Coturnix japonica: one gene and its partner. The protein of the gene in region 2 purifies or fractionates together with the protein of the main gene of each other region. This does not show direct contact. Links are inferred from orthologs where the notes say so. Each region holds a gene or a part of one and is shown on either strand. Other genes may lie near its edges.

Region 1 (4,250 bases), on a different chromosome or scaffold from region 2:
ACTGAGTGGCCATTGCTCCTGGCCACCAGCTGAAACGGGCCAGACAGCTTTGCACACACAGAATCATCTCTCCCACGCTTCCTCCTTTCCCCTCACTTGAGTTTCTCATCTTGAGAGTTGCCTTTCACATTTTCTCATCTTGATGACATCATGCACGTCACATATTGAAGTATCCCGTGTCGCTTTGACTTTAAACCTTTGGCAGACCGTTCCATTTAACACTTGTGGTTCTCTTTTCCCCCCTCTTCCCTCCCCTCCAGTCCTGAGATGCCCGAAAATGAAGCCACATTTGCAATAACTCCTGGAGGGATTGGAGATGCCAAAGAATAAGTGGGAACCTCATGCAGACATACAGCTGTTAACCACCAAGGCGCTTCGTTGGGATGAAGATCTGCTCCAGGTCGCTGCCTCCCCTGGCTGCTTTTTATCTGCTTGGAATCGTTTGAGAGGTGTTTGGGATAAACCGTGTGTGCTTCAGTGTTATTCAGCTGGTTCATTTGGGGTCTTCTCTTTTTAATTGGCAATAAATAGCTGATGGAAACAACAAGCCCAGGAGCTTTGCGGCACTCCATGTGTGGAAGAAGAGAATTAAATACCTGGAATACTTTCACGTCGGCCAGATTGCTTATTGAAGCACTTTTAGAAGAGAATGACCTAAAGTTGTTTATACTAAAGGGAATAATAAAGACCTAAAACGAGAACAGCACTCTGTGTGTCTTTGGGTGCTTCTCCTCCAGCCCCACTCTCACTCATCCCCAAGCCAGATACAACCCAACCTTTCACAACCCGTGTGGGGCACATCAAGCCGTTGTCTCGCAGCCAGGACAAAGCACACATCATGGCTGCCTCCCCTCTCGCTGCTGCCCGTGTGCTGAGCCCACAGCCCCCTGACAACCTGCCCTGTGAGGGGGCCCCGAGCCCACCCGGCCCTCGCAGCCCCCCGCACCCCCCTCCGCCGCACCGCCCTTATTGTCTCCTCCACAGCGGCAGCCGGCGCCCGGCCGAACAGCCGCATTCTCTAAGCGCCGCTACGCTGAACGATCAGCGTAATCCTCCGACCCTCCGCCAGCCCTTCCTGCACAGCCCGCGGAAGAATTTTACGCAAAACGTCGGGTTCTTCCTGCTCTACGTCAGCCTGAGTTACGCAAGCTGCGTACGCCGTGCGCTTACGTAACGTACGCCTCGGCCTAGCTTTTCCCTACCCTCTAGAAGGGGTTACGCTGTAGGCTCCTTGCGTAGTAGACTTTGAGGAATAAGAAGAGCGATACTCCCCTTACTCCCCGCCTCACGCAGGGGCTTCTGAAGCGTAGACTGTTACGCAATCTCCGTATATCGCTCTCTGTTCGGCGCAGTGTTCCGCCAAGAGCGCGTAGGGCGTAGTTGGCTTCCGAGAATTAACGTAGGCGTTTTCGAGAGCCGCAGTTTGCGCAGCGCCGGGGCGCCCGTAACGTAAGTGAAGCGGGTTGGGGCGGCGGCGGCCATTTTGTGCCGGGAGCCCGGAGGAAGAAGACGCGAGTGTCTCCACACTTGACGGGCCCTGGAGCCGACCGAGAGCCCCGCCGTTCCCTCTGCTGACGCTCAGCGGGTCTCTGACCCACTGACCACTTCTTCTTCGTTTGTGTCCCTCCCGAGAGCCGAGGTGGCGCAAACCGAGTCCTCCGAGACCCAGCCGGCGTTGGCCGGGCCCTCGCCCCGCACCCCCAGCCCTTCGCCGTCACCACGGCCGGCCTTCCGATGCCTCTCGCCCACCCCCCCGGGAGCCATGAGGGGCTTCGGGGACCGGGGGCGCGACCGAGACCGCGGCGGGTAAGGGGGTGACGGGGAAGGCCGGGCTGGAGGGCGGGGGGACGCGAAGGGGGGATGGGGGGGGCTGAGGAGCGCTCACCTCAGTTGGAGAGGCTGGGGGGGCGAGGGGAGGGGTCGGGAGGGGGGATTTCTCCTCACACTTCGGTGTTGAGGAGCGTGAGGGGGCACTGGGGGAGAGGACGGACATTTCACCCCTGTTTTTCACGTTGAGGGGATTTGGGGCCGTGTTATTATGGCTTTGGCAACAAGGGGTGGCTTTGTTTTTATTTACTCTTAGTAACGTGCCAAGCTTGCAATTCTAAGGCCTACCTCTTCCTTTTTTCCCCATATCCTTAAGTTATTTTCTCCTTTAACCAACCACCTCTCCCCTCCCCCCCCCTTGCCACCCCCCCACCAAACGTGAACGGGGATCTCTGTGGCCCTGACGCTGCCCTTCATGCTGTCATTGCTCCTTTGGAGCTCCCTCAGAAGATGGCAGTTGGTGAAGGGCCCTTCTCGTGAGAGGAAATGAGAGTGAAAGCTGCCACTGAGCTGCGTGCGTGCTCAGGAGGCCAGTAGCTGTAAACATGGCCTGGGCTGTGCTTAGCAAGCACGACCGAGCTGAGCGTGACCAGCCTTAGCATGACCAAGCTGATGGAGCAATCGAGTGGGAGCTGTCTGGCTGCCGTGGCTTGGGCCTAGTGCTTAGTGCTTCCAGTCTTGCTAGTTAAGTTAGGAAAGGGTTTTGTAGGTTTGACTCCTAAGGATGGCAGCAATAGGATAATATTATAGTATTTAAATGGTTCGCTACTTGGTTTTCTTCCTGAGGGTTAAAAGCAATAAGAGTCATCCTAGAGAAACTGGAAACCTGTTTAGGACAGTGGCATTTTCTATTCTTTTAATAGCTAGTAGTTAGGCCTCCTTTCTCAATGATTAACAATAAATGTATCGTATAGATTTTGTTACATTTTAGGTCTAGTTTGCCATAGCAATACTATTTTTCATGGCTTGTCTTTTTTTCCTCCTCTTTCTCAATGACAGATTGAGGAAAATTTTGTTTATGCATCGAAATCCACTTTAACATTTAGTTTCTCTTCGTCTGTGGAGGGAGATAGTCGCATTTAGGCTTTATCTTTGCACCCACATTTCTCACTCTGAACTTAAAGCATCCTTTCACTTTTTTTCACAGGGAGGAGGGTTGTGTTTTTCCACCATGAGCTTTCCGGCTGAGCACAACGCAGGGACATCAGTGTCAATGCTCTGGCAATCTGAGATAACTCAGGCCCAGCTGCTTTTGGAGTTTAGAGAGCGTATCTGAGTGTGTAGATTTATTTCGAGTTACCTAAAGTAACACTGTGCAGAGTGTTGTTACAATGCTTAGCATGCATGACATTTGTGTCGTCATACTCTGCAGGAGGGCTTTGCTTGTAGATTCTTCTGTTGTAGATCACGGATGTGATGTACGAAGTAAGGAAGGAGTGCCTTATTTGTCAGGATTTTGGACATCTGCATGGAAAATTGTTTTCTTGGCCTATTACAGCAGATTGACTGTATCAAGATTCAGCCACCGACAAGCATCACAATTCAGAAATAATTTCTCTGAGAATGTGGGGCCACCCAGGATGCCGTGTTCAGAAGTTCTTCACCTTCCTAGTGCTGACTCTTCCTTCAGCTAACAAATCCAGGCTTCCAGTTTTCTTCCTGTCTGTAATGAGCTGTAGGTGACTGCTTAGGATAGGCAGCTGTACTGTTTTGCTCTGGAATGTAGTAAATTCTTAGTTGTGTCCCAGAATCTGTGGCATAGTAGCTTTAGAAAGGAATGTTCTGGGTCAGTCTGAATTTCTCTTTAACTGAAAGGTGAAATCGGTGAAGTAATCTTAGTTTTAAATCATCTTGACCAGAGCTGGAATTGGGTGGTTCCCACCAGGTTACTGGGGATGGTTGTTGCAGGAGGGCAGCAGGGTTGGCTTCCTTCAGGTCAGTGTGCAGCCATATATTGCCTGTGGGGATGGAGAACTGGAACTGCCGCACTTGTGTCAGAGCGTATGATTCATAATCACAGAATCATCGAAATCACCTGGGTTGAAAAGGACTACAATGATGATCCAGTTTCAACCCCCCTGCTGTGTGCAGGGTTGCCAGTCACCAGACCAGGCTGCCCAGAGCCACATCCAGCCTGGCCTTGAATGCCTCCAGGGATGGGGCATCCAGAGTCTCCTTGGGCAACCTGTTCCAGTGCTCCACCACCCTCTGTGTATGGGTTCTTCCCTCTGGATAGCTGTGGAGCACATAGAGTGCTCAGCTGTTTTGGGGTCCAGTCTTACAGTCAGCTTTTCCTCTCGCTCTCCAGTGAGTCCAATAAGGATGTCTGTGCCTTTTGGTAGAACTGCTTGGTTACATCAGTAGTTACCATTTGGACTTCAAGTTAGCATGGTCAGCAGCAGGTATCTTCAGCAGAGCAGGAT
Region 2 (3,095 bases):
CCCGCGCTGATCCCGTGGCGGCATCCCGCCCCTCATGCTGTTCATCGGGCCCTTCTTCCGCGTCAGGCTGACTTTGAGCTTGCTGCCCTGGAAGTCCTTCCCTAGGAGGAACACAAAGGCAAGAGCCTCATTTTGTGCTGGGGGTTTCCACACAGAGCCCGGCACCACACACACGTTCCCAGGGCGCACACAAGTGCACGGAGTCCATAATCACGTGGAGCAGAAGGGCAATCCCAACACATCACACCCCATACTCACCATCGAACCATTCCACAGCTGTTTTGGCAGTGGATGGGTCATCATAAGAGACCGTGGCATCTCCTTTCGGTTTGCCAGTTTCTTTGTCAATGTAGAGGTGTATCATGGGCTGCCCAGTCCTCTTGTTCATCTAGCAGGACATCAAATCATTTATAACAAGTCACACATCCCCGTATACACCGAGTGGGGGCTCTCCCCCCTGTTCTGCTTTTGATCTGAGCTAACACTTCCACTTAGCAACTCCGTGGCAAGAGAAATGGCCCTCTGGCTTACCACACCAACAGCCACCCATGGCAACCAAAAGCAGGAACTGGCCCAGCAGCCTCTCCTGCAGGCTCCTGTGAGTGCAGGAATGGAGCTGCAGCCTCCCCACATCCTCCTCCACTCTCCCCACCGCCCTGCGCTCAAGCTGTCACACATCCCACCCGCAGCAGATCCACAGACGGATGCTTCCTGAGTCTGTAAGCACTGCTGCTTCTGCATGGCTGATGGAAGTGCACAGAGGGACAAAGCTTGATGAGGATCTTTTGGGGAGCTTGTGCTACAGGGCAGCTCCAGGCTGTGCTGATCTCACTGCCCATCAGAGCTGCCCGGCTCCACAGAAGGGGCTGAATGGGACAGTGGGCAGGGAGGAGGCAGCCAGCTCCCTTCTCTGTGCTCACCTGCACACACACGTTCCTCTCACCTTGACAACCCCGCACTGTTTGAAGAAGTCTGCCAGATCCTCCAGGGTCACGTTATCATTGAGTCCCTGCACATACACTGAGCTGTTGTCCAAGTCCTCATCCAGGTCTATAGGTGGGCCTAGGAGACAAATCTCAGGGTCAGGCAGTGGAAGAGGCAGCGATCCAGCAGCACGTCACCCCTCAGCCAGCTGCAGCTTCTCTCTCAATAAGTGCATTTATGAAGCGACATAGAACTGAGGCACTCCAGGAAACCCCAGGCACAGAGAGCAGTGCTAAGGGCTGAGCTCTCTGCTGCAGCCACCCAGCATGGCCAGGGCACCATGCAAGACCTCTGCAATGGGGCATGAGCGAGACCCAAAGGCACAACACACCCCTGCATCCTCCAGGTCCCGCATGTGGATGCTCACCCCTCCTGCTGCTATAATCCCCTCTTTCCTTAGGCTGATGGGGAACTACCAAATGTGTCTGTGCAGGAGGAAGAAAAGGGCCCCAGGTGGGGGTGGCACAGGCTGCCCATTGAGGTGGTGGGTGGTGCACCATCCCTGCAGACAGCCACAGGTAATGGGGCTGTGAGCACTGATGGAGCTGTGGGTGCCCCTGTTTGTTGCAGGGGGTGGTTGGGTAAGACGGCCTTTAAGGGCCCCTTCCAACTCAAACCATTCTATGATCTTATAAGGAGGAAGGAGACTGCTGGACAAGTGCCTACAAGCTCCAGACTGCTGCAGCCTGGAACGTGCTTTCTGCTGCTCCAGGCAGCCACACAGCAGCTCCTTGGCAAGAGCCCCCTGGCTCCATAGAGAAGCACAAGCATCTCACAGACACGTGTGGGCTTCCACCAGTCCAAGCGCTCTGATGAACCAGGAATAGAGAATCAGATGAAACAGCCCCAAAGAGACTGCAAACAGCAGAGCACCTCTGTACTTGGGTTATGGGAGGGCGAGATACGGGGCAACATCTTCTGCCAGCTGAGATGGGCACAGAAACCTCCACGCCAGCAGCCTGGGAGGGGTGTGAGCAGTGACAATTACCTAAGTCAAGGTCCGGTCCTTCCTCCATGTGTCCTGCCAGTCGGGAGAGAACCATAAGAAGCAGTGTTAGTGCAGGCCCTGCGGGCTGAAGGAGCGACACACACATCACTATCTACTTATAACCACCATTCGATGGCGCTGGTTAAACTCCAACTGACCCGCACTGCACAATCACCAGCAATGCACCTCTACGTGGCGACCGGTTCGCTGTTTTTAGCAGCCTTTCCATCCATTAACCACTATTGCGTGGGGTTGGTTTTTTGTCTTAATGCTTTACCAGGCCAATCCGTTTTACAGTTGGTTAATCCAAAAGTTACTTAAGAATTATCAAATCCAAACCATTTCTTTTCCCCCAATTACAGAAGTGGTTTCTCAATGCTTCCATATCACCTGTAACCGCGTACCCCTGGGCATGGCCGGCTCTACCCATTACAGTCTTGTTGCATACGTCATTTTTAACCACTTAAAACTAAGACAAATTACACTTTATTTTTTTCTACAGACTGACTGCAATTGGTTTGTTTTATTATCATTATTATTTATTATTATTATTATTCTTTTTTTTTTTTTTTTTTCCGTTAAACACTATCCATTGTAATGCTCAAAAACTTACCACCAGGCTTATTGAAGCCACCTCGCTCTCCAGCGCTGCTGGGGGGATAAACGAAGAAATGAAGGCCTTTCCCTTTACAAAGCCAGTACCGCTCTGAGCCTCTGCGGCTCACAGGGAAGAAGGGCACTGGCTAAACATCTCCAAACAATGCATCTGTCTCTCTCTCTCTCTCATCTCGTCACTATGCCTTTCTTCAGGGCAGCTCGCTCAAATTTCCTTTACATACACAACCTCGCTTGTCTGGTTCTAGACACCACTTTGCTGTCGGTACCCTTCCATTACTTTGTATTGGTATTAGCAGTGCAATACTTGGCAAAAAGAAAACAACCACCAAACCAAACTGACACCCATCCGTGAGCGTTGCAGATCAATCCCTGTGATCCAGGGCTGCCCGCTGGTCGCTCCCTCCCTGCGGCGTGTTCACAAAGTGCACCCTCAGCCTGCCGGGACCCTGACATTAACAGTTCAAAAGGGAGGAGATGACCACACGCGATGCCTACAACACAGTTC

The links.
Region 1: the proteins of EWSR1 (region 2) and DDX17 purify together in Homo sapiens (affinity purification with mass spectrometry; 3 studies listed by BioGRID, with this or other methods). This does not show direct contact. The link is inferred for Coturnix japonica from reciprocal best matches to the Homo sapiens genes EWSR1 and DDX17.

The regions. Positions count from the first base shown.
Region 1 is NC_029516.1:46,422,999-46,427,248, forward strand, and holds the start of DDX17 (probable ATP-dependent RNA helicase DDX17), read left to right. Parts: upstream 1-1,444; 5' UTR 1,445-1,762; coding exon 1,763-1,806; intron 1,807-4,250. Other genes in the region: DMC1 (meiotic recombination protein DMC1/LIM15 homolog), read left to right, coding at 261-330. UniProt on the Homo sapiens protein: As an RNA helicase, unwinds RNA and alters RNA structures through ATP binding and hydrolysis.
Region 2 is NC_029530.1:9,960,322-9,963,416, forward strand, and holds part of EWSR1 (RNA-binding protein EWS), read right to left. Parts: intron 2,624-3,095; coding exon 2,586-2,623; intron 2,006-2,585; coding exon 1,973-2,005; intron 1,063-1,972; coding exon 944-1,062; intron 389-943; coding exon 259-388; intron 102-258; coding exon 1-101. UniProt on the Homo sapiens protein: Binds to ssRNA containing the consensus sequence 5'-AGGUAA-3'. Might normally function as a transcriptional repressor. EWS-fusion-proteins (EFPS) may play a role in the tumorigenic process.